7 linked regions of the Macaca mulatta genome follow. The protein of the gene in region 5 interacts with the protein of the main gene of each other region in a pairwise test. Links are inferred from orthologs where the notes say so. Each region holds a gene or a part of one and is shown on either strand. Other genes may lie near its edges.

The links.
Region 1: the proteins of CREB3L1 (region 5) and TMEM11 interact in binary tests that used the Homo sapiens proteins (3 or more experiments, as listed by UniProt). The two-hybrid records come from large-scale screens. The link is inferred for Macaca mulatta from reciprocal best matches to the Homo sapiens genes CREB3L1 and TMEM11.
Region 2: the proteins of CREB3L1 (region 5) and TSPO interact in binary tests that used the Homo sapiens proteins (3 or more experiments, as listed by UniProt). The two-hybrid records come from large-scale screens. The link is inferred for Macaca mulatta from reciprocal best matches to the Homo sapiens genes CREB3L1 and TSPO.
Region 3: the proteins of CREB3L1 (region 5) and MFSD5 interact in binary tests that used the Homo sapiens proteins (3 or more experiments, as listed by UniProt). The two-hybrid records come from large-scale screens. The link is inferred for Macaca mulatta from reciprocal best matches to the Homo sapiens genes CREB3L1 and SLC61A1.
Region 4: the proteins of CREB3L1 (region 5) and PGAP2 interact in binary tests that used the Homo sapiens proteins (3 or more experiments, as listed by UniProt). The two-hybrid records come from large-scale screens. The link is inferred for Macaca mulatta from reciprocal best matches to the Homo sapiens genes CREB3L1 and PGAP2.
Region 6: the proteins of CREB3L1 (region 5) and GPR25 interact in binary tests that used the Homo sapiens proteins (3 or more experiments, as listed by UniProt). The two-hybrid records come from large-scale screens. The link is inferred for Macaca mulatta from reciprocal best matches to the Homo sapiens genes CREB3L1 and GPR25.
Region 7: the proteins of CREB3L1 (region 5) and FAM3C interact in binary tests that used the Homo sapiens proteins (3 or more experiments, as listed by UniProt). The two-hybrid records come from large-scale screens. The link is inferred for Macaca mulatta from reciprocal best matches to the Homo sapiens genes CREB3L1 and FAM3C.

The regions. Positions count from the first base shown.
Region 1 is NC_133421.1:22,102,750-22,106,973, reverse strand, and holds the start of TMEM11 (transmembrane protein 11, mitochondrial), read left to right. Parts: upstream 1-1,424; 5' UTR 1,425-1,449; coding exon 1,450-1,511; intron 1,512-4,224. UniProt on the Homo sapiens protein: Plays a role in mitochondrial morphogenesis.
Region 2 is NC_133415.1:8,322,557-8,326,777, forward strand, and holds the start of TSPO (translocator protein), read right to left. Parts: upstream 2,801-4,221; 5' UTR 2,730-2,800; intron 2,407-2,729; exon of another isoform or gene 2,111-2,406; intron 533-2,110; exon of another isoform or gene 1-532. UniProt on the Homo sapiens protein: Can bind protoporphyrin IX and may play a role in the transport of porphyrins and heme. Promotes the transport of cholesterol across mitochondrial membranes and may play a role in lipid metabolism, but its precise physiological role is controversial.
Region 3 is NC_133416.1:60,393,560-60,397,573, reverse strand, and holds MFSD5 (molybdate-anion transporter precursor), read right to left. Parts: upstream 2,733-4,014; 5' UTR 2,641-2,732; exon of another isoform or gene 2,610-2,640; coding exon of another isoform or gene 2,426-2,609; intron 2,091-2,425; coding exon of another isoform or gene 2,074-2,090; coding exon 721-2,073; 3' UTR 501-720; downstream 1-500. UniProt on the Homo sapiens protein: Mediates high-affinity intracellular uptake of the rare oligo-element molybdenum.
Region 4 is NC_133419.1:71,992,386-71,996,632, reverse strand, and holds the start of PGAP2 (acyltransferase PGAP2), read left to right. Parts: upstream 1-1,447; 5' UTR 1,448-1,514; intron 1,515-3,381; exon of another isoform or gene 3,382-3,543; intron 3,544-4,113; exon of another isoform or gene 4,114-4,132; coding exon of another isoform or gene 4,133-4,142; coding exon 4,143-4,247.
Region 5 is NC_133419.1:19,310,179-19,314,237, reverse strand, and holds the start of CREB3L1 (cyclic AMP-responsive element-binding protein 3-like protein 1), read left to right. Parts: upstream 1-1,259; coding exon 1,260-1,452; intron 1,453-4,059.
Region 6 is NC_133406.1:58,519,969-58,524,066, reverse strand, and holds GPR25 (putative G-protein coupled receptor 25), read right to left. Parts: upstream 2,801-4,098; 5' UTR 1,845-2,800; coding exon 759-1,844; 3' UTR 77-758; downstream 1-76. UniProt on the Homo sapiens protein: Orphan receptor.
Region 7 is NC_133408.1:161,164,065-161,168,170, forward strand, and holds the start of FAM3C (protein FAM3C), read right to left. Parts: upstream 2,801-4,106; 5' UTR 2,585-2,800; exon of another isoform or gene 2,548-2,584; intron 1-2,547. UniProt on the Homo sapiens protein: May be involved in retinal laminar formation. Promotes epithelial to mesenchymal transition.

The sequences.
Region 1 (4,224 bases), on a different chromosome or scaffold from region 5:
GGCAGATTTTTGCATTTGTTTTGCTCAAGTATTTATGGGGCCAACTAATATGTTTAGCAACGTTGTGTGTGGGAGCAGTAGAGGAACTGAGAAGTTTACAAACTGTAAGAGATCCCCCAAAGAGTCCACAGGTCTGAGGCAGCAGCACCTGGGAATCTCTGGGTTCCAGTTAGTCCTTCCTGACTGACTCGTTACAGCAGTGTCCAGACAAGGAGATGTCAGGTCCTGGGGCAGGGTTCCCGTCAGGTGGGATGGTTTAGCCCCGCATCTGCTTTCAAAGATCCCGAGATTGGCCGGGCGCGGTGGCTCAAGCCTGTAATCCCAGCACTTTGGGAGGCCGAGACGGGCGGATCACGAGGTCAGGAGATCGAGACCATCCTGGCTAACACGGTGAAACCCCGTCTCTACTAAAAATACAAGAAAATTAGCCGGGCGAGGTGGCGGGCGCCTGTAGTCCCAGCTACTCGGGAGGCTGAGGCAGGAGAATGGCGTGAACCCGGGGGGGCGGAGCTTGCAGTGAGCCGAGATCGGGCCACTGCACTCCAGCCTGGGGCACAGAGCAAGACTCCGTCTCAAAAAAAAAAAAAAAAAAAAAAAAAAGATCCCGAGATTATGCCGTCGCAGCGGACAGGACAAGAGTGGGTGCGTGGCAGGGACTGAGTCTGAGGCCTGGAGGCCCTGTCTGAAACAGGGCTGTCGCTGTCGCAGGGCCCTCTCTCCTTCAAGCAGTTATCATACAGCTATTCCCCTTCCTTGCGTTCAGACCCTCTCCTCTAACAGCCTGCACCTGCAAGCAGGGACCTCCGTGGCAGCCGGGACAGCGTGTCTGTCTCGGCCTCCCCAAAGTACCCCGGAGTCTGAATTGGGCGGGGGATGGTGCGGGAGCAGCGCCTGACTCCGAGGAGGACCCGGGCGGCGTCTCCCGCCCCTCGGTGACCTTATGGGCCAAGGCTGTGAAGAGCAGGCGGGGCGACGCGGAGGGGCCGGGCGCTAGAGGCCCGCAAACAGCGCGGCGGTCCCCGGCAGGAGACGCGGCCTGGCGGGCCGGGACGGCGGCGCCGGGCGCCTACGCGCGGTGCTCTGGGAGTTGTAGGCACTTTCCTCTTCTCTCTCCTTCAGCTGGCTGGCTCTCGAAACCCAAGGACCTACCGGTGGGTGGGCGCCTGTGACTCCCAGGCTGCGAACGCCGGGAACTCAGTTTCTTCAAAAATGTCTGAACCCAGGACTGCTCCTGGGGGTCCTCGCGCCCTCGCAGAAGGACTACGGGCCCCGGCGACCCCGGGGGCGGGGCTTCTGGCGCGCTGCCTTGTGGGCGCGGTAGTTCCGCCAGGCCCGGCTTCCGCCTGCCGAGCGTCCCGGGACAGCGGGCCGGACTACACTTCCCGTCGGCCCGCCTGCTCTCCCGATGCCGCCTTGGCGCGAGACGTTGGCAAGCGGAGTGTCTCCAAGATGGCCGCTTGGGGAAGGAGGCGTCTTGGCCCGGGCAGCAGTGGCGGCAGCGCCCGAGAGAGGTGAGATCCAAGGGCTTGTTGCCCACGGTGCAGGCGGCTCAGGGGCCGGAGAGCCCAGCGCGGCCTCCGGGGGCTGCAGCAGCCTTCCTGCCCTGGTATCCCCGGGCTCCCCCGACCCCCGCCTGGCATACGGGGTTCCAGTTCCGGAGGATCCGGGATCCGGGTAGGAGCGAGGTCGAAGGCTTCGGCGGAGAGCTTAGGGGAAGGGGCGTTAGCCGGGCTGGGTAAGGTGGGCAGCGGTCATGCGGGGTGGGGCTCGAGGCCGGGCCGTGCGGAGAGGAACTGGCGCCCAGCGCAGGCCTCAGGGACCCGCCTAGCCGCGGGCTGATCGGCACCCTTCCCGCTTGGCCGCGCGCGTGGCCATCTCGCCCGCGGCCCCCGACGTGGCGAGGAAGGCAGGGCCCCTGGAGAGAGAAAGAAGGTGAAGCCTTCACAGAGCAGGCCGGCTGCGGCAGGGGTAGTTTGATCTGCACGTTTACCAGGGAGCTTTAGCTCCCACCACATGTGTCTCTTCCGGGCCCGGAGCCGTCCACTTCCTCGAGGGGCGATTCTGGAGACTTTTGGATGGTTCTGTGCAAGCGCTCCTGCCGTGGAAGTCAATTAAAGTGACCTTTCCTAATGAATGGTGTGTGGGTAGGGAGCTAGGAGCGTGTTTCTTCCAACAGAGACCTCCATTTGAGTAACTGATTTCTAGAAGATGAGATTGGAGTAGTTTCCGTGTTACATGTTCAAGTTGCAGTTTTTGCTTCTGGGAAGCAGTTTCAGCTAGTGGAAGCCACTAGAAGCTGTTCAGCCGCTAGAAGTTTTGGGAGAGGATGTATATTGGTGGAGCCACCTGGATGAACTATCCGCTAAAGCTTGATTGTTAACAGCAGCGGTCAGCAAAAAAGGAAAGTTTTGGTTTTGCTGTTGTTGTTTTTTTCCCCGTCTCTTTGGTGAAGATTGTCTAACCAGAAAATTTCTCTGCCTGTCAACTACTCTGCATTATTCCTTTTCTATGACTGATTCCATCCCGTGTTCATTGCTATTGCTTGCAGATGGCTTTCCCAGCTGGGAAGATTCTTCCTGTTTGGCAGTTGTGATAGAGTCCGTTAGCTTGCTTGCACTTTATTCTTGAGCCCAGTTAGCCAACGTCGCCCATTCTGCATTTCCTCTTCCTTGGAAAAGCAGTGGTAAACACACTTTTGTTTTTTTAACTCCCGCCTGGTATTTCTTAGATTGGACCATTTAAATAAGTTACCTCAGTGGTTTTCAGATGCCCTTAAAAACTAGCAAACATTTTCAAGATATTCAATGCAAACAGTAATAGGAAATAACCTGTTTAGAAAACAAAGTTTTAGAAACGTTCGCCCTCTTGTTGGACTAAAAGCAACTGAAGAGAGCCTTATAGGGATGCCTCAGGCAGGGAACAGGAGCCTTGCCAGCACAGGTTAAGCTTTTATTGATCTAAGAAAATAGATCCTGAGAATTGTTTTTGCTTTGGCTTGAGACAAGTATTTATTCAAAATGGAGTTGGCAAATCAGCAGTGCATCAGCTGGAGCCAGTGCTTGACTGTTGAACCTCAACAGTTTTTAAGAGAATTTAAATTAGTTGCCAACAGATTTCACATAAAACGCTCCCTGAAAAGCTGGGTAGTGGCTGACTCTTTTTGGTTAGGACAGTGCTCTCCAGTTCTTGGTTCCTCACCTGACAGCTTGACTCAATCACCTGACAGCTTGACTCAATGCATTTACCTGCTTGGTCTCAGGTTGCACCTTTGGCCTGGAACTGAAGGCTCCACTCATACACGCAGATGTTGTGTGTCAGCAGGAATGTGGCATTTGGTTTTGTGGTTTGGATGTCACCATCAACTCTCCTAGATAATGTGGTGTGGGTGGAGACTACCTCTCTGTTTGCTTTTGCTGTAAACCCCTAGCCAGGTTCTGTAGGAAAAGTCATTTGCCCGAGCCCAGCTTCCCTAAGCTCTTTCCATGCTGAGCAGGGGATGGAAACATAACCCGCTGTGTGGCTAGCGAGCTGACTTCTGGGCATCCCTCCATTCCTGCTCAGTTGGTGATGACTGTTCAGGTGGGGCAGGGCGGATTAGCTGATGGCCCAGCACCCTAGATTAGGAGATCTGAGTGTATTATTGGCTCTTATGACTGAAGTAGGCTGTTTATGGCTCTCTTAAATGACTTTGTTCCATGTCACATTTGTGCTGACTCAAATCTCAGCTCCATATTGTACGAGTGCTCTCTCCCGTTGCTGCTCACACCTGGTTAGCATCCGCTTTTGCTGAAGCTGAGGGAAACAGTGTCTGGTTTGGACAAGGGGCTAGAACAGAGCGACGCTTTGGGCAAACTTGCCAGATTTGCCAGCGGCTACCAACTCTGAAGCACGCACTGTACTTAAAGGCCTCACCCAGTGCCAGATTGCCCACAGTATTACTGCCAGCGCTGTGTGTTGGATGGTCCAGCTTAGCGCGTGGTAGCGTGTGGGTTCTTGCTTTACCTTGTTGAGTCTAGAACCACAGCTCTAGAATTAGTGCTGAATTAACACAGCAGTTCAGTAGTCACCAGCCACATGTGGCGATTACATTTAAATTCATTAAAATGAAATAAAATGAAGAATTCAGCTCCTCAGTCTCACTAGCCACATTTCAAAGGCTCAATAGCCACTTCTGGCTCGTGGCTACCATATTGGACAGCACAGGTGGAGGACATTTCCATCACT
Region 2 (4,221 bases), on a different chromosome or scaffold from region 5:
TGGAGACCTCTCTATAGGTGACCCAGAAGGCCAGGCACAGTGGCTCACACCTGTAATCTCAGCACTTTGGGAGGCTGAGGCAGGCAGATCACCTCAGGTCAGGAGTTCGAGACCAGCCTGGCTAACATGGTGAAATCCTGTCTCTGCTAAAAATACAAAAATTAGCCAGGTGTGGTGGCGGGCGCCTGTAGTCCCAGCTATTCAGAAGGCTAAGGCAGGAGAATCAACTGAACCCAAGAGGTGGAGGTTGCAGTGAACCGAGATTACGCCCCTGCACTCCAACCTGGGCAACAGAGCGAGACTCCCTCTCAAAAAAAAAAAAGAAAAAAACTGAACAAACAAAAAGCACAACTTAACTAACTAAAAAAAGAAGGCGATCCAGGAACAGAATAAGGAATGTGTCCCTTCTCTGATCCCCACCACCACCCCCAGCTGCACCCAGCTCCCCTGAGCCTTGTCTCTCCAATGAAGCCACCATTGTCCCAGAGACTTGTTTTCAGGCTTTTAAAAAATGACTCATGGCTAATCGTCCTGACTTTGTGTGCGTTTTTCATTACGAAAGTAACCAGTGGAACAGCCCACACGTCTGGAAAAATCCACAGCCAACCTGGCCATCGAGTGGCCTGGCAAAGGGTAGGGTGAGGGTGGGTGTCCAGGGGGAATTGGTTCTGTTAAGAAAGACTCATTTCCTTTCCTTCAAGGTTCGGGGGTTAAACTTTTTTTTTAGTGAAAGATAAAGAAACAGCCTGGCCGACATGGTGAAACCCCGTCTCTACTAAAAGTACAAATATTAGCCAGGCTGAGGCAGGAGAATCACTTCAACTCAGGAGGCAGAGGTTGCAGTGAGCCCAGCTCGAGCCACTGCACTCCAGCCTGGGCAATGGAGCGAGAGACACCGACTCCAAAAATACATATAAATAAAAGTAAAGAAGAAATTAAGAATGACTTCCCTAGTGGTCCAGTGGTTAAAAAGAAAATAAAATAAAAAAGACTACTGTTTTACACAAAGAGAGCATATCCACGCATTGTTTGCCCAATCAAAAGTAAACACAAATAAGCCAGAAACGGTGGCTCACACCTGTAATCCCAGCACTTTGGGAGGCTGAGGTGGGAGGATCGCTTGAGCCCGGGAGTTCTGCAGGAGACTGCAGTGAGCTATGATTGCATCACTGCACTCCAGCCTGCCTACCAGAGTAAGACCCTGTCTCAAACAAAAAAAAAAAAAGAAAAAAAGAAGGAAAAAAAGAGAAAGAAAGAAAAACGAAACAAAACAAAACAGAGATTCAAAACTGAAATACTGAAAAAGCTAAAGGTAAATGTAGGCTCCCTCCCTGTGAGCCCAAGCCCTTCACCCCACCTGGAGAACCTGCTGTGAATATTTTCTGGTAGATCCAGCCAGACATGGTGCCTCACGCCAGGCATAAGTCTGTACAGACGACAGGACACAGCACATGTGTGTGCACACATGCACAGACACACTCCCAGGAAACAAAGTGGCCCTCGGGGCACAGTGGAGGAGGCAGGCTGGGATCAGGCCCTGGCTCCACCACGCCAGCTGCATGACTCTGGACAAAGGCTTCTTTGGTAAGCCTCAGTTTCCCCCAGTTTCCAGCACTCCCCTGGGAGCCCAGGATTCCCGCGGAGCCTCCCTATGGGGCTGCCAGCAGCCAGGTGGAGACTCAGGGGCCGCCTTCCCCTGCTGGGCTGAGGCTGGCTCTCCTGCCCTTGCTACACAGCCCCTTTCACCGCCAGTGGAAACCTGCCTCACGCTGCCCTGTCTCGGGCCCCACCGACTCCACAGAGACGCCGGGCCTCGCCCACGTTCTGGCAGCAGGCCTTCATGGGCAGGGCTTGCTGTGTGCCAGGCGAGCTGGGCGACTGCTTCCTGTACACCACCTCCCCTAATATCCTCGCCCTGCCTGAGTCCATTCTGGGACAGCCTCAAGTCCTGTCTCTCCTGCCATCCAGCCCAGGGCACACTGCTGGTATTCCGTAGCGCCGGCCCCTGGCAGGCTGGCCAGAGGGGCTCCAGGCCCACGCCAGGCCATGGCCTCTGGAAGCTGCCCTGGCCAGCAGTGTGTTCACAGCAGGAAGCCCCCGCTTCTCCCACCTGGGCTCCGTCTTCTTTGCAAGGGGCAGGGGAAGCAGACAGGTCCCAGAGGCTGCTCGGCTCAGAGTAAGTCCCGTCTAGGCTGCAGCGCACCTGAGCCCCGCACTGGGAATTGAGGGCCGGGGGGCCTCTAACCGGCTTTGGGCAAAAAAAACTTCCCCGATCTGGGCTGTTCTCCTCCACTATGAAACGGGGTGTCTTGGGGGATCAGGATCCTGCCTGAGGTCTCCCAGACATTCTGAGACCCTGAAGGGAGCTCCGCCTGGGATTGCCCATCCGCGGAATGGGCGGGAGAGGGAGCATCGGCCTCTCCTGCGACCGCGCTTCCTGCAGGAGAAGCAGGGGCAGGGCGTGGCGGAGTTGCCCAAGTTTCCCCTCCCGAACCCCCAGTCGGAGGCGGCCCGCGCAGGAACCCCGGCCGCGGAGGTCCAGACCTGGCTGCCCGCCGCCTCCGCCCCTGACCCGATAGCCGAGCCCCAAGTGCTGCCCCGGGCCGCCCCCTCGGGTGTCCAGTCCTCGGCTCCGGCCTCAGTTTCCCTCTGTCCCGCGGCGCTGTCAGAGTCGCAGCCGTGCGGGCCCCCATTTCCCGCTGCCCCCTCCGCGTCCCGTTCTCACTCACCAGCGGCGAGGGCACGCTCCGGGAAGGGCACTGCCTGGCAGGAGTTAGCCAGACCGCTGTGCCCGCATCCGCCCCGCCCCTCTCAGCCGCCCGGCCCCGCCCCGCCACCAGGCCCCGCCCGTCAATCCACCGCCCGGCCCCGCCCCACTACCCGGCCGAGCCCCGCCCCGCTCCGCCCCGCCCCGCCTGGCAGCCCGGGCCCTGGACCCACTGGCATCCCCGCGGGACCGGGAGCTCACTCCTCAAACCCACCTCTCCCGCGGGACGCGCTTCTGCCTCCCCCCGGCCGCGAGCGAGTCTCTCGGCTCCTTCTCCTCCCCACGGTGACCGGTGATGGCCGCCCGGCCAGACCCAGCACCTAAAACGTTGCCGTGTGTCCGCCGGCGGGTCGCTTGTGGTTTCTTCTAGTCTCATTTTCCCATCTATAAAATGCGGCAACAAGACCGATCTCCGAGTGGGGGATTGCCTTTCCTGAGGGCAAGGCCCTGAGCGTCCTCCTGCTCAGCAGCCTTGGCCCCATTTCCGGAGCACCCCAGTTCCTTGAGCTGTTGATCCAGGGCACGGAGACTGCGCGCTGCACTCTTAGTCCTGGCCCGACCACTTTCTGACTGGTTATCTGGGTCTCCATCTCCTCATCTGTAAAATGGGCACAAACTCGTGGGACTGATGAAGCCACAAGGCGGTGATGCAGGCAGGACACCCCTCAGATGCTCGGCGCTCAGTGAGGGGAGAGGCTGCCATCATCACAGTCCAGAGGTGGCCTCCAGCTGCCCAGGTCCACTCCCATGCAGGGCGTGTCAAGCCCCAGGCCCTTGGCACTGTGGCTGTCTTGCTGCAGCCCAAGGCTGTCCCAGCTCCCTCCGGCCAACTCAGACTGGCAACACCCCTCAGCCTGCACCAGCCACATTGGGCCAAACTGATCCTGCAGGGGCCAAGGAGAACAGTGGCTACTTCTACCCAGACACAGAGGCTGGGAGCCTCCTTCCAGCCAGGCTGTACTATGGCTTTCCTAGGACCTGGCATTGTTGCCTTTGTAAGCCTCTTCCTCTATTAAAAGACAAACATATATAATCTATTTTTGACTGTGTTGGCCTAAAGACAAGGATAACCCAGGCTTGGTTCCATTCATCATTCATCTTTTTCTTCTGGGTTTCTTTTCCTTCCTTCCTTCCTTCCTTCCTTCCTTCCTTCCTTCCTTCCTTCCTTCCTTCCTTCCTTCCTCTCTCCCTCCCTCCCTCCCTCCCTCCTTCCTTTCTTTCTTTTTTTTTTGAGACGGAGTTTCGCTCTTGTCTCCCAGGCTAGAGTGCAATGGCACAATTCCGGCTCACTGCGACTTCTGCCTCCTGGGTTCAAGTGATTTTCTCCTCCCTCAACCTCCCAGCAGCTGGGATTACAGGCACCTGCCACCACGCCCGGCTAATTTTTGTATTTTTAGTAGAGATGGGGTTTCACCATGTTGGCCAGGCTGGTCTTGAACTCCTGACCTGAGGTG
Region 3 (4,014 bases), on a different chromosome or scaffold from region 5:
ACACAGCTCTGCTGAGAACAGTTCCATAGTTCTCAGTCTGAACTGGAGACAGCCTTGGAGAGGTTAGAAATAGAAAACTTTTGCTGATAATCCCACCTCAAAACCTCTAGCTGGGCCTGGCGTGGTGGTTCACGCCTGTAATCCCAACATTTTGGGATGCCGAGGTGGGTGGATCACCTGAAATCAGGAGTTCAAGATCAGCCTGGTCAACACGGTGAAACCCCATCTCTACTAAAAAAAAAAAAAAATTAGCTGGGCATGGTAGCAGGCACATGTAATCCCAGCTACTTGGGAGGCTGAAGCAGGAGAATCACTTGAACCTGGGAGGCGGAGGTTGCAGTGAGCCAAGATTGCACCATTGCACTCCAGCTTGGGCGACAGAGCAAGACTCCGTCTCAAAAAATAAAAAAATGAAAAAACAAAAAACAAAAAACCTCTAGCTGCCCACTCGCCAGAAACCACTGAGAAGGCTACAGGTAAGGATGAGTAAATCAAATCAATGATCATTTAAAAGTGTTTATTTTCTAAATGGGAGTAACACAGAGGGAACTTTTGGCACCTTCTTTCCAGTCCATCACCCCCATCATGTCCTCCCAAACACAAAGCAGTGGCAGGAGAAACCACAGGACAGAGTCACAAAGTCAGTCACAGAGAGATCTGTACAATCCTGGATAGCTGGAATTCAAGAGTCTGTCCCAGCTATCCTGTCCTGGCATGGGGTTACAGCTCAGGGGCATAGGGCTCCTCAGTAGGTGAGGGTACCCGCAGCTCAGCATCATGCCTTACCACGGTGAAGAGTCCCACCACCGCCAGCAGAGCCATCACCATGACAGCAGAGCAAATGCTGAACATGTTCCGAGTACCTGTTTTTCTATCACTGTCATGGAGGACAAGGAGCCCTAGGCAAGCCAGTAAGTGCAGAGGTACCCGGAACCAGTTGAGTACACCAGCCTGCTCTGTCTCAGGGATCACCTTTCTCCGTAGGAAGCTCATGCTGGGAAAGTATAGTCCACAAGCCAACTCAATAAGTAGAAAGGCTATGAAGGACTCCACTGGACTCTCCTGGCCTGGACTGGTAGAGAAAGTCAACATGAAGAGAGAGAAGACGACGATGAGCACAGCAAGGGACAGCAGGTGCATGGGCTGAAGGTGGTACCTCTTGGAGGTGGCAATACGGTACAGGGAAGAGCCAAGCAGGCTGGCTGCCATGAAGCTGGAGAAGACAATGCCCAGAGGGGCGCCATGTGGGTCCAGCACAGGTGTCCAGAGGAAGACAAAGATGAAGATGACACTCTCAAATAGAGCTTGTATGGTGCCCAACAGCAGCACGCGGCGGTCCGAAAGGAGGCAGCGCAGGCCTCCAGCACAGGTCCTTGAGAAGGCACGCTGCCGGTCATAGTTCTCCCCCCAGTTTCGAAGGGCCAAGGCCCCTGCCAGAGCCAGGAGAGGGATGGCAGCCACAAAGGGCGCTACAGGCCCCAGCCCTATCCAGCTTGCTACAGCCTCAGCTGTCACACCTGCCACTACAGCCAGCACATGGTTCCAGAAGGCAGCTCGAGCAAAGGTAGCTGGGATCCACTCGGCAGGGAAGTCATGCCGTTCCACGTGCTCATGGATGTACCAGGCCTCGAAGGCTGAGAAGAGCAGGGCTGTAGACAGCCCACCAAGTGCTCGGCCCACTAGCAGCACAAAGTAGTCTTGAGAGAGTTTGGTTAAGCAGCATAGTGAGTAAGTGAGAGAGAAGAGCACACAAGAATTCTTGCGACCCAGCCAATCCACAAGGGAGGAGGCCACCAGGCCAAAGAGGACTGTAGAGGCAAGGCCACAGACATACAGGATGGCAATTTGACCTTCCAGGAAGTAGTAATGCTGGTAGAGTTTATAGAGGTAGGGGGCCTGGAGCCAGTCAGCTGCCAGGGCCAGGAAGTAGACTTGATAGAAGTCCAGTTGAAACCGAAGGAAGGAGGGATTGCTGCAGGCCCTTCCAGGGGGCTTAGCCCGGCACCTTGACAGTTCCAGCCCCAGGCAGGAGGCCAGGAGGCCTACAAAAGCAAGGTAGGCAGTCACCAGCATGGTGGGCCCCCGACGACCTGGGAAGAGAGGTGGGGGTCAGAGTCATATCCATCCTTCGGGCAGCACGGTCAAGGGGCCGACTGTCTTAAGCAGAAGGCAGCTCCACCCAACCCCGTCAACTCCACTCCCCAAGATCTCAGACCGGAGGGACCAGTTGGGTGGGTGGGAAGAGTGGCCCCGCCAGAGCTGTCTCCTAGGACACTGTGGGGCAGGGAGGGGTAAGAGGACAGGGGAGAGGACTGAGCACTCACCCCATCCTTGCCTGTAAAGAGGGAGTCCCTTCCAATAATCCCGGTCCCCCAAATTCTACTGCCCTTTCCCACAGCACCTCCCGCACTCGTCCTTCTATTACCTCCCATCCTCGCTGGGGAGCCCCTTTTTGCCCTCAGTGTCTCATCCTCTGTCCCGGGCATCCCTCCCACCCGCGCAGGCCTCTCGAGTTGTTTCAGGGTCATGCGTGTGCATCTCAGATGCCCACTCCTCCAGGTCACTGGCGCCCCACTGCGCCCCCTAGCCCCTGCCCAGCGATGCCACATCCGCTTGCACCTCGCCCAGACTCCGTCTCACCTGCTGTCCCGGTCTGCGGGGACACCCCGGACACGTCCGGCTCCAGGCCGCCCGGCCACCCTCCCCGCTGTGGCTGCGGCTCCAGCTCGGGTTCCAGCAGCGCTCCCGCCCCTCACAGCCTGCTTCCGGGAGCCGGGCAGGCCTCTGGCCGCCGCCATGATGGCTTCGTCACGTGACGGGGGCGCGGCGCCAAAACCCCGCCCCGTCCGCCCTCCTTCCCCTACCCGGGCGCGGAACTCCGGACACCTGGGGTGGGTCAGGAAGGGACGACCGTGGGCGGCTGCGGTTGCTCCTCCTGGCCTGGCCTTGCTCGCCGCTCTCCCGTGACACCTGCTCCTCTGGCTCTTGGATGCCTGCTGGGCCACCCCGAAATAAAGGCCAATTTTCTTTTCTTCCGTGCCTTGCTCGGGAAAGATGCCCGCAGTCCGGTAGAGCCAAGGGCTGGAGCTTCCTAAGGAACAGCACCGCCGCCCGAAGCCGAGACGGTCTCCTCAGTTTGCCTCCTCTCCCACTTCAGTGACCTCCATGCAAGAGAAGCCAGTATGGTCCAGACACCTGAGGGAGGCGGTGTGGTGTAAAGAACTTGGAGTCGGGCTGCAGACAGATTAAGGCGCAATCCCGCCCCTGTCACTTACCAGCTGTGTGGCCTTAGGCAAGCCGCATAACTTCCCAGTGTCCCAGTTTCTTTGAAGTCACAGGAGAGCAATGCCCAAATGCAGCATAGGGTTAAGAACTTCAGCCTTGGCGCTTAACTCCCTACCTTCTGCCACTCAAGCTGTTTTACCTTGGAAAAGCTATTTAACCTCTCTACAGCTTCCGTATTATCTCCTCAAGAGCCTCCAATGACTTCCCATCTCACTAAGGGTAAAAGCCGAAATCTTTATAATGGTCTACAAGACCCTCTGTCCTCTGACCTTCTGCCACTCCTCTGACTTCATCCCCTGCTACTCTCCCTCCTACTCCATCTATATTGGTTACCACCAGGGCCTTTGCACACTGTTCCCTGTACAATTCTTCTCCAAAATATCCACGTGATTCCCCCATCACCTCCTCCAGTTCTCTGTTCAAATGTCACCTGATCTTGGCTGGGCCTGGTGGCTCATACCTGTAATCCCAGCAGTTTAGGAGGCCGAGGCAGGTCGATCACTTGAGGTCAGGAGTTCAAGATCAGCCTGGCCAATATGGTGAAACCCTGTCTCTACTAAAAAAATAGAAAAATTAGCCAGGCATGGTGGTGGAAACCTGTAATCCCACCTACTCAGGAGGCTGAAGCAGGAGAATCACTTGAACCCGGGAGGCAAAGGTTGCCGTGAGCCAAGTTCACGACACTGCACTCCAGCCTGGGTGACAGAGCGAGACTCTGTCTCACAAAAA
Region 4 (4,247 bases), about 53 Mb from region 5:
GGCAAAACCCCATCTCTACTAAAAACTACAAAAATTAGCCGGGCGCGGTAGCAGGCGCCTGTAATCCCAGCTACTCGGGAGGCTGAGGCAGGAGAATCGCTTGAACCCTGGAGGCGGAGGATGCGGTGAGCCGAGATCGTATCTATTTTCACAGGTTTGTTTTTTGTTGTTGTTGTTGTTGTTTTAGACGGAGTTTCGCTCTTGTCGCCCAGGCTTGAGTGCAGTGGCGCGATCTCGGCTCCCTGCAACCTCCGCCTCCCGGGTTCAGGTTCAAGCGATTCTCCTGCCTCACCCTCCCAAGTAGCTGGGATTACAGGCGCCCGCCACCGCGCCCGGCTAATTTTTGTATTTTCAGTAGAGACGGGGTTTCGCCATGTTGGCCAGGCTGGTGTCAAACCCCTGACCCTAGGTGATCCGCCCGCCTCGGCCTCCTAAAGTGCTGGGATTACAGGCGTGAGCCACCCGGCCCTCACAGGGGTTTTATGAGGATTAAATAAATGAGATAACATAAAAAGTAAGAGTGCCTGGGACATACTGCGTGCTCAGAATGTGTTATTGCTAAGGATTTAAGTGGAAAAGTGCGATGTTAGCTGTGACTAGCTTAGAGGTCCTCCACCCGCTGCAGATGCTCTGACTACCCCCGTGCCCTTGCAGGAGAGATGCTTGGTCTCTTCACCCTCCTTTCCCGTTGGGGTAGATGGTCTTTGCAAAGGGAGCCAGGGGTCCCCCTCAAGTTCTTTTATGGGTCAGTCATGGTCAGGGTAGGGAGGGAACTCTGGCAGTTGGTTTTTGGGGATCAGTCCTCTCATTGTGGAGAGACCTAAGGCTGGTGGCCGGAGATCCTCTTTCTGCGCTGTACACAGGACAGGGCGCCCTCTCCTGAACAAAGGCGGGAACAGCACTAGGCCAGACTTTCTGGGATGTGCCTTACCGGCTCTCATTGCCTGCAAAGGTGCTATGACCATTGCTGAAATGTCCCCAACCATCCTGGCGAGCAAAGTTTGGGGGAGGGGCGCTAAGGCTGGGAGGAAACTGGCTTAATGTTTCAGAAGGGCGAGGCTGGATTATTCGGTTAGAATGGAGGTGCGGGGCAGGAGAGACGGGCGGATGAGAAAGAAATCCGGCCCCTGTTGAATTAATTTTGTGTTCTTTCAACAGGTGATGGAACGCAGCTGAGCGGTAAGGCGACAAGGTGGCTTATCTAACATGCTAAACTCAGGTATCCAGAGCTCTTACGGCTGCCCGCACGCAGCCGAAATTAATGGGGGCAGTCCCGGGCTATAAAGCATAGTTTGAGGATACACCAGATTGAGGGGCAGAGCCACGGGTCGGGGTCTCCAGAAGCGGGGAGGAGCCACCGGAGGATCTAGGCGCAGTTTCCTCTCTAAGTTCCGCCCCGAGAGCGCCGGCCCCGCCCCCGCCGTTCGCGCTCTGACCAGCCCGCAGAGTCAGCCCCCGACCCCGGGCCGCCCGGGCCCCAGGGTTCCGCCGGCAATCTGGCCACCACCGCGTGGGTGAGTATGGGCATGGGTGTGCTGGGCTGCCGGGCAGCCCCACTCAGGGGAGCTTGGCCGCGCGGTCCGGCCTCTGCAGGGCCGGGCCCCACGCTCTGGGAGTCCTGGTGCCTGCCCTGCTATCGCACACACTCTGTTTCCCAGGAACTGCTGCTGTCTGGACTTGCCGAGCTGGCCCCCTTCTTCTCCCTCCCCAGCATGGGGCCGGGTGTGCAGGGGTTGAGCTTTCCCTTCTTTATTCCACGGGGCCTCCTGGTCAGGAGCCCTAGGTGGGGAGGATGGGGCCCCAGGGTTGGAACCCCATAGACTAGTTTTGAATGGCAGCTCTGCCATTTATTAGCCTTGGCCTTGAGTGTTTTGAACCTCCCTGAGCCTCAGTTTCCTCATCTGTAAAATGGAAATATACAGGCTGTAGCACCTACCTCATAGAATTATGGTGAGGATTAAAAGAGACAATGTGTATCAAGTACAGAGCAGGGAGCCTAGTATTCCGTAGGCACTCAGTAAATGTGGGTTCAGACTCCAGGCTGAGAACATCTCTAGGGACTTTGGAGCTGAGGTAGCTCCAAAGAAAGCGATTTTCAGCTAAGTAGTACCTGTGAGGAATGTAGAGCTGTCTGCAGACTGAACAATTGCCCTTCAGCTCCACCGTGAGGTGTGGAGTAGAATGACCAAGTTGAAGGACCTTAGAGGTAATCTAAACCCTGTGATTCCCATGTTGCCGAACTGTGGAAACAGATCTAGAGTGGTTAAGTGGCTTGCCAAAGGTCACACAGCTAAATGGGAGGCCAGGCATACCTCCAAGAATTGGAATGGACTGTCCCTTGAACCTCCTCATCAACTCCTGATTTGGGCAGTGCCTCTTCATTCCCTGAAGATCTAGTTTTCAATTTGGGAATCCTAGTGGTTCCTCAGAGATCTAGAGCTGCAAGCTTCAGGGATGGATGTTGGGAGGGAAGACTAGTGCTACTGCAACTTCAGAGTCTAGTTTTGGGCTGAGTGAGGAAGATGTTCCCCATCTAGGGCCTTAAGGGACTCAGAGTCCATTTAGGGATGATCCAGGGAATTTTTTTTTTTTTTTTTTTTTTTTTTTTCTGGGAGGGTCACCAGAGCCACTTCCAGCTCCCTGGGGAGATCCCTGATGCTCCTAAAAGGGAGATAGGAACTTGAGCAATTGGAGCAGGCTGCCTGATCAGGCCTGGCAGCTGGGGGAAAATGGGTGAGGATGTGGAGGCGTAGCCACCTGGCTCGTTCTGTAATGCTAGGATGCCAACCTAACTGAGATCAAGGTTCTTTTTGAGGGTGGGACTAAAGGGAGAGTCTTGTGGGTGGGGCCCGGAAGAGTTGGGACTTGATTTGACAAGGCCTTTGAGCCCAGAAGGGTATATTCGTTATGTGTCTGGAGCCAGCCCTAGCTTGGCAACAAGCAGCCAGCGTTCCAGGGATGGCTTCTCTCCAACTCAGCATAGGGCTTTGAGGAAGAACCTTTCTCTCTCTCTGAGTATCTTGGTTTCTCTATCTTTACAGTGGGAATAGGGCTAACTGCCTCATCTATGTAGAATTTGGTTTTTCCTTTTTTTCCTCCTGTGAACAGGCGCCTCTTCTGCCTCTCTCACTCCAGTCCTAACCTGACCTTTCTGTCTCAAGCTCAGACCCAGAGAGGAAGGGGTCAAGGAAGGCCAGAGTTGCAGTGTGTAACTCTTTGTGGGTCCCACATGTATCTGTTATGTGATCCTGAGAAGATTCCTGCCCCAACTTTCCCTTCTGTACACTGTGGGGAGCTGAGCTAGGATTGTTGGTATACACTTATTTGTTATAGTTCCTGACCTTAGCTACCCTTATCTAAGGGGGAAATCACAGTCCCCAGGAACCCTCATCTGTTCACAGGAGGGTGGTGTGGACAGCCCCCTGGGCACTGGGGAGCCTCCAGAAGCTGACCAAGCAGCTCTCTCCAGCAAACAGCAAGCCCAGGCTAGCACCAGACCTGATTCTGCAAAGCCTTTCATTCTCGGGGCACGTGAGAGAGCAGGTTGGGACAAGCAGAGGGCTCGGGGTTCTGTCCGCTTCCATGGAATCCCTGCCGCTGTGGACTGCGGTGCAGGCACACAGAGCACACAGAGCCTGGGAAGGGACTGAAGGTGCGGGAGGGCCCTGGGCCAGTGGGGAAGCAATGAGAGCTGATGAGAGGCCTTGAAGCCTGGAGGCTGGGCCTGAGGCTCAAAGGCCTGGGGGAGGAGATGGGCCATTCCATCCACTGGTAGGTTTTAGGGTTGGTTCTTGAAATAAGTAGAGACACTTAAAGCAACTTCTCTAGTCCTAGGCCTGTCAAGCTAGGCAGAGAGGAGTGAGGAGAAGCTCTCCCAATCCATTCAAGCTTTATCCTAGCACAGATTTGGTTCATTGTCTTCCCGCTGAAATTGAGGTGGAATGTTGTCTTTCAATTCTGAGTCAGTCTTCCTCATCCAGGGCAGGAGCTATCCAAGTTTAGGCAACTTCCTTCTCATACTCCCCACCCCATGGCACACAGCTAATTTTAGGACTGAGCACAAGGGCTGACTTCATCACTGAGTCCCAGCCTTGCTGCCTGGGGCCCTGACAGCATGCCACTCCATCCCCAGGTCTGACAAGATGTACCAGGTCCCACTGCCACTGGATCGGGATGGGACCCTGGTACGGCTCCGCTTCACCGTGGTGGCCCTGGTCACAGTCTGCTGTCCACTTGTCGCCTTCCTC
Region 5 (4,059 bases):
TTTTGAGGCGGAGTTTCACTCTTGCTGCCCAGGCTGGAGTGCAATGGCACAATCTCGGCTCACCACAACCTCCGCCTCCCAGGTTCAAGCAATTCTCCTGCTTCAGCCTCCTTAGTAGCTGGGATTATACGCATGTGCCACCAGGCCCAGCTAATTTTGTATTTTTAGTAGAGATGGGGTTTCTCCATGTTGGTCAGGCTGGTCTCGAACTCCCGACCTCAGGCGATCCACCCCCACTCGGCCTCCCAAAGTGCTGGGATTACAGGCGTGAGCCACTGCGCCCGGCCTGACTTTTTTGTTTCTAAGAAATATATGTTACATCATTACCAAGTACACACATGTGCGAGCACGCACACACACATAACTGATTTGTTTTTAAATTACCAGGTATTTAACTCCACTGTGTGCTGTGCACTCTGATATTTTCTACCCTTTTTTTTTTTCTGTTTTATTTTTACTTAAAATTCTGGTCGTGACCCACTAAATTGATTTCACAACCCATTAATGAGTCACCACCCACAGTTTAAACAGCACTGAGTCATAGCTGGAAGGATGGAGGCCACCATTCGAACCTAAGTAGTAGGGCTCCAGAGCCTAACCTCTCTGTATAAAGGATGGCTTGGGAAAGGACAGAGCCCCTGAAGTCTCGAGGACAGATGGGGACTGTGCTGCTGAGGGGACTGGAGGCTTCAAGAATGCCACCACCCTGCATCACTCTCTTCCCACATTCCAGCAAAAGAGCACACAAAATTCACTAATATTGCCTTTGGAAAAGAAACTTGTTGGCGTAGACACACGGTTATTCTCTTACTTTGTCCTCACATCAGCCTATGAAGGAAGTAAGAAGGACTGAGAAACTGACTCACGCAGTTTAAGTCATTTGACCAAGGTCACAGAGCCCAGTGTCCTGTTGCCAGGTCCTGGGACTTTTTGACCCCATCCACAGCTCACCCTTGCAGATAACGATGGTGAGGGTGGAGCTGGTGGTAGAGAGAATGGGATGACAGTGGTAATGGTCGTGATGGAAATGATGAGAGTTGGTGTTATGATGTTGGTAGTGGGGAGGTTGGTGATGTTGCTGGTATTAATGGGAATGGGCACAGTAATGGGAGGTCGCAGTGACAACGGTGGCCGTGGTGGGTGCCGCACCACCACAGTAGCACCTGCACCCCCTCCCCAAGCAAAGCTGAATTCCCTCTTCCCCTCACCTTCTCCTTCCCTAGCACTTTCCTGAGCACCTGGACCACTTCACGGAGAACATGGAGGACTTCTCCAACGACCTGTTCAGCAGTTTCTTTGATGACCCTGTGCTGGATGAGAAGAGCCCTCTATTGGACATGGAACTGGACTCCCCTACGCCAGGCATCCAGGCGGAGCACAGCTACTCCCTGAGCGGCGACTCAGCGCCCCAGAGCCCCCTCGTGCCCATCAAGATGGAGGACACCACCCAAGGTAAGAGGTGGAAGAACCTGGAGACAGCACAGGCCCAGAAGGCCCAGGAGGGAGGAAGCTCTGGGGTGACAAGAGAGTATGCCTGCAGCCTGAGACTCCCAGAGGCTCCAAGAGGAGCCACCACAAACCCCTCAGGAGGTGCTGCTCCCTGCCTTTCTGTTCTCCCTCAATTCAAAGCCAGAGCAGCACTTCTCAAAAGGGTTATTTTTGTTGACTTAAGTTAGTGGTTCACAAAGTGTGGTTCCCAGACCAGCAGCATCACCTGGGAATCTGTTAGAAATGCAGATTCTCGGGTTCCACCAAACCTGCTGAATCACAACCCTGTGGGTAGGGCCCAGCCTTCCAGGTGATTCTGATGCACACTCAGGTTTGCAAACTGCTGACTTAGAGGAGACAGGGGTAATTCAACAATGACTATGGGGCTGGGCATGGTGGCTCACACTTGTAATCCCAGCACATTGGGAGGCCGAGGCAGGTGATCACCTGAGGTCAGGAGTTCAAGACCAGCCTGGCCAATACATGGTGAAACCCCATCTCTACTAAGAAAATACAAAAACTAGCTGGGCACGGGGGCGGGTGCCTGTAATCCCAGCTACTTGGGAGGCTAAGGCAGGAGAATTGCTTGAACCCAGGAGGCGGAGGTTGCCATGAGCCAGCCAAGATCGTGCCATTGCACTCTAGCCTGGGTGACAAGAGTGAAACCCCATCTCAAAAAAAAAAATAAATAAAAGAAAAATTATCCAGGTGTGGTGGTGCGCTCCTGTAATCCCGGCTACTTAAGAGACTGAGGCATGAGAACTGCTTGAACCCGGGTGGAGGAGGTGTAGTGAGCGGAGTTCGCACTACTGCATTCCAGCCTGGGCAACAGAGTGGGACTCCTTCTCAAAACATAGTAACAATAATAATAATAACTCGCTGGGTGCAGTTGCTCATGCCTGTAATCCCAGCACTCTGGGAGGCCGAGGTGGGTGGATCACCTGAGGTGAGGAGTTCAAGACCAGCCTGGCGAACATGGTAAAACCCCGTCTCTACAAAAATACAAAATTTACCCCAGCATGATGCCCTCCATCACATGGTGACTCTATTACACACTGCCTGTAATCCCAGCTACTTGGAAGGCTGAGGCAGGAGAATCACTTGAACCCAGGAGGCGGAGATTGCAGTGAGCTGAGATTGCACCATTGCACTCCAGCCCTGGCAACAGAGTGAGACTCCATCTCAAAAAAAAAAAAAAAAAAAAAAAGGCCGGGCGTGGTGGCTCACGCCTGTAATCCCAGCACTTTGGGAGGGCGAGGTGGGCGGATCACAAGGTCAGGAGATCGAGACCATGGTGAAACCCCGTCTCTACTAAAAATAGAAAAAATTAGCCGGGCGCAGGGGCAGGCGCCTGTAGTCCCAGCTACTCGGGAGGCTGAGGCAGGAGAATGGCGTGAACCCGGGAGGCGGAGCTTGCAGTGAGCCGAGATTGCACCACTGCACTCCAGCCTGGGCGACAGAGCAAGACTCCGTCTCAAAAAAAAAAAAAAAAAAAAAAAAGACTGGGTGTGGTGGCTCACGCCTGTAATCCCAGCACTTTCAGAGGCTGAGGTGGGTGGATCATTTGAGGTCAGGAGTTCCAGGCCAGCCTGGTCAACATGGTGAAACCCCGTCTCTACTAAAAATACAAAAATTAGCTGGGCGTGGTGGCGGGCACCTGTAATCCCAGCTACTCCAGAGGATGAGACAGGAGAATCACTTGAACGCAGGAGGCAGAGGTTGCAGTGAGTCGAGATCAAGCCACTGTACTCCAGCCTGGGTGACAGAGCGAGACTCTTGTCTCAATAATAATAATAATACCATCCTGACTAACACAGTGAAACCCTGTCTCTACTAAAAATACAAAAAAAGAAAAAAAAAATTAACCAGGTGTGGTGGTAGGTGCCTGTAATCCCAGCTACTCAGGCGGCTGAGGCAGGAGAATGGTATGAACCCGGGAGGCGGAGCCTGCCGTGAGCTGAGATCGCACCACTGCACTCCAGCCTGGGCAACAGAGCGAGACTTTGTCTCAAAATAATAACAACAATAATAATAATAAGCTGTAGACAAGACTCTAGAACTTCACTGCCTCCTCATACTTGATGTCCTCTGAGACGCTATTTGGGAGAGATTCCTGTACCCTCTTTTATTCCTGAAGGTAGCATTCTCTAAAGCTCCCTTCTCCCCCTAACTCCATCCTTTAAGGCAAAGAGCACCCTGAGTTCTTCCACTCAGGTAATCAGCATTCAAGACCCACATTGTGCCCCACTTAGAAATGGCCCCTTTGGGCATTTCCTCAAATACCGGTGGTTTCAAATCCTGGCTCTGTCGCTTTTGGCTGGGTGATCACAGACATGCCGCTTAACCTCTGCAATCCTCAGTATCTATATCTACAAATGCAAATAACAATAAACATTTCTATAGCACTATCCAGTCTACAGATTGCCTTCATGTTAATTATCACATTTATTTCTCATGACTGACAGGTGAGGTTGTAATCACGTTCATCATAATCCCCATGTGACCGATAAGAAAACTGAGACTTAGCCAGGTGCAATGGCTCATGCCCGTAATCCCAGCACTTTGGGAGGC
Region 6 (4,098 bases), on a different chromosome or scaffold from region 5:
CACCCAGTGTGCGACCCGCCTCCTGATACGCATTTCACTCCCACTGCGCAAGCAAAGACGACTGTGAAGACAGGGCTAGCAGGAGTGTCTGTTTATTGAGAAAGATGAATTCACAGAGAAGATTTTGAGGTTCCTGGCTGAGTGGTGGAGACCTTAAGAAACGCCTGGTGAGCGATTTCAGGACCTTCTGTTGAGAGGGAAAGACCAGAACAACTTCCAGGTGAGTCCTACCGCTTCGTAGGGGGAGAAGTGTCACCAGATTCAACACCAGGGTTTTGTGAGTGAGAAGGGCAGAGGGCCTGACTTGGAGAAGGTATTTCTCTGAAAGCAAAAGCTATTGTGGGAGACGGGAGAAAGCACAGCCAGAAACCAGAATGGCATTTAGGGGTCTGGGTTCGATTTCTGGTCAGTGCTCTTCCCAATGAGGCAGAGAAGGAAATCCCCTTCCCTTCTGTCTTCTTGGTGAATCTGCGGGTCTCCGAGTTGCTGTCTGCTCCATCTCATAGCACTTATCTTGTACCCTGCAGGCTGACAGGGAACAGCTAGTCTCAGGAGCCTGGTTTAGGGGAGTTCAATTGCTCTGAGGTTCCGGGGAAGCTGATGGAGGAGACCCTGGGAGTCCAGGCAGCGCGCGAGGCAATGCGATGCCGGCCGGAGCAGCTTGCTGCCGCCAGAACAGGCGCATCTGGGTCCCCTCCCGGGACTTCTCCCCTCCTCTCGGTGCTCCGCTGTCGCCCACCTCCAGCGGCCCGGGGCAGCTACCAGGGGGCCGAGGCAGTGTTCGCGGCCTGGGCCCGGCAACGGAACACGGAACTGTCGTCCCTGGAGAGCGAGGAGGCCGAGCTGATCCTTCGCGCCAGGCGGCCGGTGCGCCCGCAGGCCGCGTCCAGCGCCCGGGCTCGGAATGAGCGGTCCAGCAGGAGGTAGATGAGCGGGTTGGCGCAGCTGTTGACGAAGGCCAGGCAGGTGGCGATGGTGAGGCCCCAGCGCAGCGCCAGCAGCAGGGGGCACGGCAGCGGCAGGGCCCCCAGACGCGCCAGGTGGAAGACGGCCCGCAGGGCGCTGAAGGGCAGCCAGGAGCCCACGAACGTGCTCTCGATGGCGAAGATGATGCGCAGCGAGTTCCTCCGGACCCGACCCACGTGCGGCGGCCGGCGCAGGCGGCGCGAGATGCGGCAGTAGCAGAAGAGGGTGACGACCAGGGGCAACACGAAGGTCAGCAGCAGCAGCAGCAAGCTGAGGCCCTGGAAGGTGTGGGAGGGCTCCTCCCCGCACTGGCTGCCGTGGCCCCCAGGCAGGGGTTGCAGCCCCCGGTAGACCAGGGAGGGCAGGCCAGCCAGCAGCGCCACGGCCCAGACGCCGCAGCACGAGGCCAGCGCGCAGCGCGGGGTGCGCAAGGGCCGCGCCTCGAGCAGCTTCACCACGGCCAGGTAGCGGTCCATGCTCATGCCAGCCAGCAGCAGTGCGCCCGCGCAGCGCGTGCCCGCCAGCGCGAAGCTGCTGAGCTTGCAGAGGCCCTCGCCGAACGGCCAGCGGCCGTCTAGCGCCGCCGCCGCGGCCCACAGCGGCAGTGTGAGCACTAAGCCCAGGTCAGCGGCCGCCAAGTGCAGCACGAAGGTGTCCACTAGCCGCCGTGGGCCGCGCCGCCTGGCCAGCAGCCACACCACGAAGGCGTTGCCCAGCAGGCCCATGGCGAAGGCCGCCAGGTAGAGTGCAGGTATGTAGACATAGCCGTAGGGCAGGTCCCCGGCCGGACACAGCTCCAGCTCCTCCAGGTCGTCCAATCCCGAGTAGTCCCAGGCCCCTGACCCCGGGCTGGGACTCCAGGGCTCTGTGGGGTCCATGGCCTGGCCACGAGGCCTGCGCTGGGTGCAGCCCTGGGCTCAGGCGGCAGCAGCTCTGAGCAGGAGGGGGTTTGCTCTTCATGCCCGTGTCGTGCACCTCCCTTCCTGCCACCCCAGCTCGAGCAAATGGGTGGGCAGGAAAGACAGGAGGGAGGAGGGGATGGGGTGGGAGGGGCAGGCTCCTGTGGGAGAGATGGTGGCCTCCGATTTGGGGCTGACCCGAGGGGTAAGGGCTGGGATAGGCAAAAGGGGCTTCACAACTAAGTCTTGGGAGGAAAAGTCCTCAGGGCTGGGAGACCTGCCCCGCCTCCCAGTAGGAGCGTGGCCCATTCCTCTATTAGTTGCTCAGTTTCTTTGTTCGTGAAATCGGGATACTTGCCCCACTGCCTCAGGGTCGTGTTGCAAGAGGTGGTGGGTGCCAGAGAGCCCTAATCTCTTCTCAGCCTCCACCTCACCCCTTCCCACCTGCACCCACCGGCTGCTGTTTTCTCTGTTTTAGAGGGGAGAAGACAGGGGATTTTATGAGTATGGGGCCTAAGGCACGCCCCCCCCCCCCAAATCCACCTGTTCCCTAGGAAAGAGTCCACTGCCGGGACACAGCAGATCTGGGTGGGTCGGGGAGCCCGCCCTGGGCACTCAAACCGTTGTTAGCATCCTGAAATGTGGGGTTTGTGTCTTCACCCTGTGAGTGGCTTCTCTGACCCAAACAGGTCCTCATGAAGCGGAGTGGAAGGGTTTTAAGGCATCTAGGAAGGGGTGTAGTCAGATCATCCTGCTGGACAGGGGCCAAGCCTGGGATTCACATCTGCCTCTTCCCTGTCTTCTCCCAGCCTAAAAAAGCTATCTATTAAGCCAGACGCAGATGTAAGCTCAGTTCAAAAGATGACACCTAATGAAACACCAGATTAGTTGTCCTAAATTATGAGTCAGGAGCTTGGAGGCAGCAAGATCCTTTGTGAAATGAGAAACTGAGAGTAAGGGGAGGATACCTAAAGAAGAGGGGGAATGAAGTCTGACCCTGAGTGGGCGGTGGGCCCTTAGGAGGAGAGGATGGGGGAGGGAATGCTTGCTCTTCCTCCTGAAGGAGGCATGCAGCCAATTACATCTGAATTCTTCTTAGCAGATATCCCTTCCACAAGATATTGTGGTGGAACTGATGTCACAGTGCCCTCTGAGTCTGTCCCCAGTGTCCCCAGGAATGAGTGGCTGATGTGCCGGGCAACCTGGTGTGGAAAATTTGAGGTGGATTATCAATTTTGTTCGATTCAGACTTGTTAACAATGAACTCCTCCATGAAGCAGGCACTGTTTCAGGCACTGCGAGAGATGCCATTCTTGGCCTTAGCAGTTTATTGCATAGGCAGGAGAGATGGTTACATAAGCAGAATGTGCAATGGCCGACATGCCGGGAGTCCAAATTGTAGTAAATGTTAAAAGCCAAGCCCTCTTAGGGTTTAGTGGAGGGGGAGTGATTATTTTTGACGGGAAAGCTAAATCAGAAAAGGCCTTCTAGGAGATGACACTTGAGATCAGTCCCAGGAATGAGCTGAAAGTCAAATAAGAGCAGCAGAAAAGAGAAGAAAGGGTCAGACTCGGAGGAGGGAGTGAAGGGAACAAGTATACTGAAATGAGTAGGAATGTGGGCTTTTCAGGGGACAAGCAGTCTCCCAGAGCCTAGGGTAGGAAAGTGGGGACAGGAGATGAAGCAGGAGGAATCATGAAGGGATTTGGATTTCAATCTATAGGTCATGGGGAGTCAGGAGGCATTAATCTGTGTTTTGAAAAGATCACTGGCAGAACTGTGGAGAAGGGAGAGACTCAAGCCAGGGAGACCCCACCGTAGGTTGTAATTATTTGTGTCTGAAATAGATCATGAGCAGTGGGAACAGAAAGGAGAGGATGTATTCAGGAGGTAATTGTAGCATCATAGGTCTCACAAAGAAGAGTCAAAGATAAGCCTGGGGTTTCTCCGCTTAGGGACCATATGGACACTGTCCCCTTAACTGCCAAGAACAGTGAGGCGCATGTGCGTATGTGTTCAGTTTGATGTTGGTTTGAGGTAGTCATGAAATAATTTATCATCTAAATCAGGATGTTTCTGAGAGTGAAAGGGGCACTATGAGAATTAACCTGGGCCATAAACCAGGACTATTTTGGGCAAACTGGGACATAAGGTCACCCTCACTTGGGGTCCCTCTAGCACACGGAGATCCCCAGGAAGGATTTGGAAAATGGTCTTAGAGGCCGGGCGCAGT
Region 7 (4,106 bases), on a different chromosome or scaffold from region 5:
AGAAAATGAAAGAATATTAATGGGTACACCGGAGAGGCGTAGGGGTATTACAACACATAATTTCCTCCTCCGAGAGGAAGACAGCTGATTGTGTCTCAAATTGCATTAAAAGAAAGTACAAAATCTTTTAAAACTTTAAAGATTTGGGGAAATTACCTGGTTCAGTCTACTCAATCAGATTAATAAAGTACTGCATGATATTAGGTAATTTAGTCAATGCCACTCTTGAAATAACTAAATACAGAACCAATGCTTCAAATCCTGATCATCTGGTCCCAATAACAGAGATGCTTCTGGACTAAATTCAAGACAAACTTTTCTACTGTATCAAGGTCTCACAAAAATCTATCTAGCTCAGAGCTAACATAAAAATCTTTTGCTATTTGGGTCTTGTACCTTTCAGCTTTAAGAAATGGGTATAAAACTGTGAAAAACAAAAAACAAAAAACAACATAAACTCCCTCAGAAAAAATAAAGTAGCTTTGTGAGTGCCCAGGCTGTCTTATTCAGAGTATCCATGATATCTATAATTACTGGCACATGGTAGGCACTCCAATATTTTTAAGAGTATAAAAATTTTTGAAAAATGAGATGAATCATTTAAAACCTAAAATATATGGTGAAAAATATATGAGTCTTACGATACCCCCACAGGGAACATTACTTTTTGCCATTCCATAGCCTCTTAGCCTTTTGAATCTGTTTTCCAATTTCCTTTTCCTTTTTAATGTATCTTCATAAATTATGAAAGATTAGTTGGCAATGCTTAAGGCAGCAATCCATATTAAAACTTTGTAATTGTAACAAAACATCCATTAAGTTTATTTTTAAAGTCACTTTAAGCCAGTAGTATCTTATTTTTACTCCCTTTTGAAACAGAAGCCCCTTACAATGAGGATTTTGAGAAACCTGTCCTATGTCCTTCTTACAAAGTTCCCATTGGTAATTCAGATTGAGAATCGCTGGACTCAATCTCAGGTTGAGAATCGCTGGACTGAACTCCTTTTATTGGTTCCAACTCTTCCTATTTCTTCCTATGAAGAAATGCTAGTCTTTATTGAGCTGAGAAAACATTACAAGAATCTGTGAAACAAAGCTTCTAACACCTGTATAAAACTGAAAACCTTGTGACTTAATTGGTAAACAGCCAAGAAACACAAGAGACTACTAGCAGCCTCCAGAAAGAGGTACAGGTCAATGAAGTGACCAAAACCGGATGCTGATTTGCTGATTCTGCCAATTTCTTGTTAAATGGCTTTCAATAAGTGATTAACTTTTATTTTCTAAATTCAATGGAGATCTGCTGGTACTCTGTAAGTTACAAATGTAACTGCAAGTTGGCCACAAGTCCAAAGGGTCTGGGCCTCTGCTATCAGCATCGACCTTTACACTCTGGGAATTCATATTTCCATCTGTAAAACTGGGGAAGATAAAGGGACTTATTCACTGAGCTGTTGTGAGAATAAATGAGCACATGAAACCATTTGGCAGTGCCTAGTACACAGTAGGCAATCTAATATTATTTATGTCATTGTATCCATATATATGGATACATACATATATGGATACATACATATGGATACATACATATGGATACATCTATATGGATACATACATATATGGATACATCTATATGGATACATACATATATGGATGGATACATACATATATATGGATACATACATATATATGGATACATACATATATATATGGATACATACATATATATTGGATACATACATATATATGGATACATACACCTGGCTAATTTTTGTATTTTTTAGTAGAGACGGGGTTTCACCATGTTGGCCAAAAAGAAACAAAGGAAAAGTCCTATCAATTAGACAGCAGTTCTGTATTATAGGCAATAACATTTTTTCTTAAAAAAAAAAAAAAAAGGTAGAGGATGATGGAAACCGCCCCTCCCACAAGCAAAACAGCTGGAGCTCTCAATCTCAAATTGCCAGTCCGTCACTCACATACTCAGATCTAGGGCCACTAATCATCCGTGGTCCCGAGCTGTGAGAGCAGTAGCAAACAAATGGGAAGAAAAAGAAAAGACAACGAACATCAAAGGGCTGGATAGGTTGTAAAAAACCAAAAGTACCTCTAGTATAGGGGACACTAAAACTTTACAAGTGAGTCAAAACGGCCCCCTACGGAGTTGAAATGCAACACTCAACTCCGTCTCCGCCTCTCGGAGCTCTCAGCCTACACGCTGCAGGGGGCTTGAGCCACCGCCAACCCGGGGAAGACGCGACCCAGGTGCCCGCCCCAGGCCGGGGCGCCCAGAGCCAGCGCCAGGTGCAGACGCCGCCCCGTCTCCGCGGAGCCCGGGGATGCCCATGCCGGGGCGGCGGCGGAGAACCCCGGCCAGCGGCTCTTCGGGACCCCGGTCCCGCCTGCGCCCTCCCCAACAGCCGGACACGCCGTGACGACGCGGCCGGGCCCCGGGGCCCGCCCCCGGCCGGCGACCGCAGAGTGCGCGGAGGCTGAGGACGTAGGTGGGCGTCCCCCTCCCCCGCCCTCCTCCATCCCTCCCCGAACCTGAGCCCCGGCTCCGTTCGCTTCCCAGCCGTCTCACCGGCCTCCCTCCCGCCTCTCCGCCGTACGCGCCCGCCTTCCGGCCTCCCAGCACTCAGTCCTGCCGGAGGCCGACGGGAACCGCCGCCTCCAGCTCGCGACTCCGCTTCCTCTCGGACTCCTCCTGCTGCCCCTCACCCCCGCGAGTGACCAGGAGAAAGCCAGCTCGCCGCTGGGCCTCCTCCCACGCTTCCCCGCCGCGACCAATGGGCCCCCGCCGCCTGGAAGCCGCGCCCGCCCCCTGGCGGTGGAGGACCAAGTGGGCGGCCGGGCCTGCCGGAGGGAAGCGCCGGAGAGCGGAGGGAGGGGTCTGCGGTCCCGCCCGCCGCCCCCGGCCCGGCGCTGCACAATCTGAACTTGCCACGTGGGAGCTGCCGCGGCGGTAGCCCTGCGCCGGGTGGCACTACGAGAGGAAGAAAAATGTGTCACTGCTTTCTCCCCACCATTCACACGCACAAAATCTCAGCCTCAAGAGCAGAACATTTTAAATGACCCACCCATCTCAGAGATGCGCCAGCTAGGTCATCTTAGATATCTTGAGATACCTGAGATGGTCAGATCCACCAAGGACCTTGGGTTGTTTGCCGTTTGACTTCTTGAATCCTAGGAAACTGATTCTGAAAATCCTACTGTCCAGCGTCGTTAGAATTCTGATCACCTTTAATGCACCACGCAAGAAGAAAAGTAGTTCTTGCATTTTCCAAGTCACGTTTATTTTTAAAATTATGACTACACAATAGTTAGAAATGTTTTTTCTCAGGACATTTTCCCACAATTGTGTTGATAATTGGGAAGTTAATTCAAATCTTACTATACAAGACCCGAGAATGCAAAATTATTTCATAATTCAGATCCATATTCTAAAATAATGAATATTATATATTATTTGATAGAATATTGGGATCATCAGTGGTTGCAGAAATTAAATTGTATTTAACAGTAGAGTTTGACTATAGTGCGTTAATATAGAATTGATATTCTACCAAATTTTGGCTTTCCTCCAAAAATATAAAACACACTAACAATAACTATGAATTCTGGAGTTTGTATCTGTGGTCAGGGGAGAAAGCATGAAATGAATTCTCATTGTTTTCCTTGCACCAATATTATGCTATTTGTGTATTACTTAAATCAAAAAACTAAGACTCCAAAATTGAGTTTAAATATCTTGCTCAAAAATACAAGGTAGTAAATTATGAAGCTGGAATTCCAGCCTAGCTTCATGCAGCTCCAAACAAACAAAAAGGCACTTTGCTTATTATAGTACCTAAAAACCATAACACTTATTCTACACATGCCTCTCCTAGACTGCTACGTCTCACTGAAAGAATTTATGAAGCCTCTTGAGTAGGGAGTCCAAGGTGTATTTCTCAAAGAGCAATTTGCTCTGTAATCAAGCCAACCAGATTGGAAATTCCATGTGACATATTCTTATAGTACCACACCTGAAACAATTCCTGTGCGTAAAGTCTAATGTGTTAGTAGCCTATTCTCCACTGACCATAAGATATAGCTTAGAACCC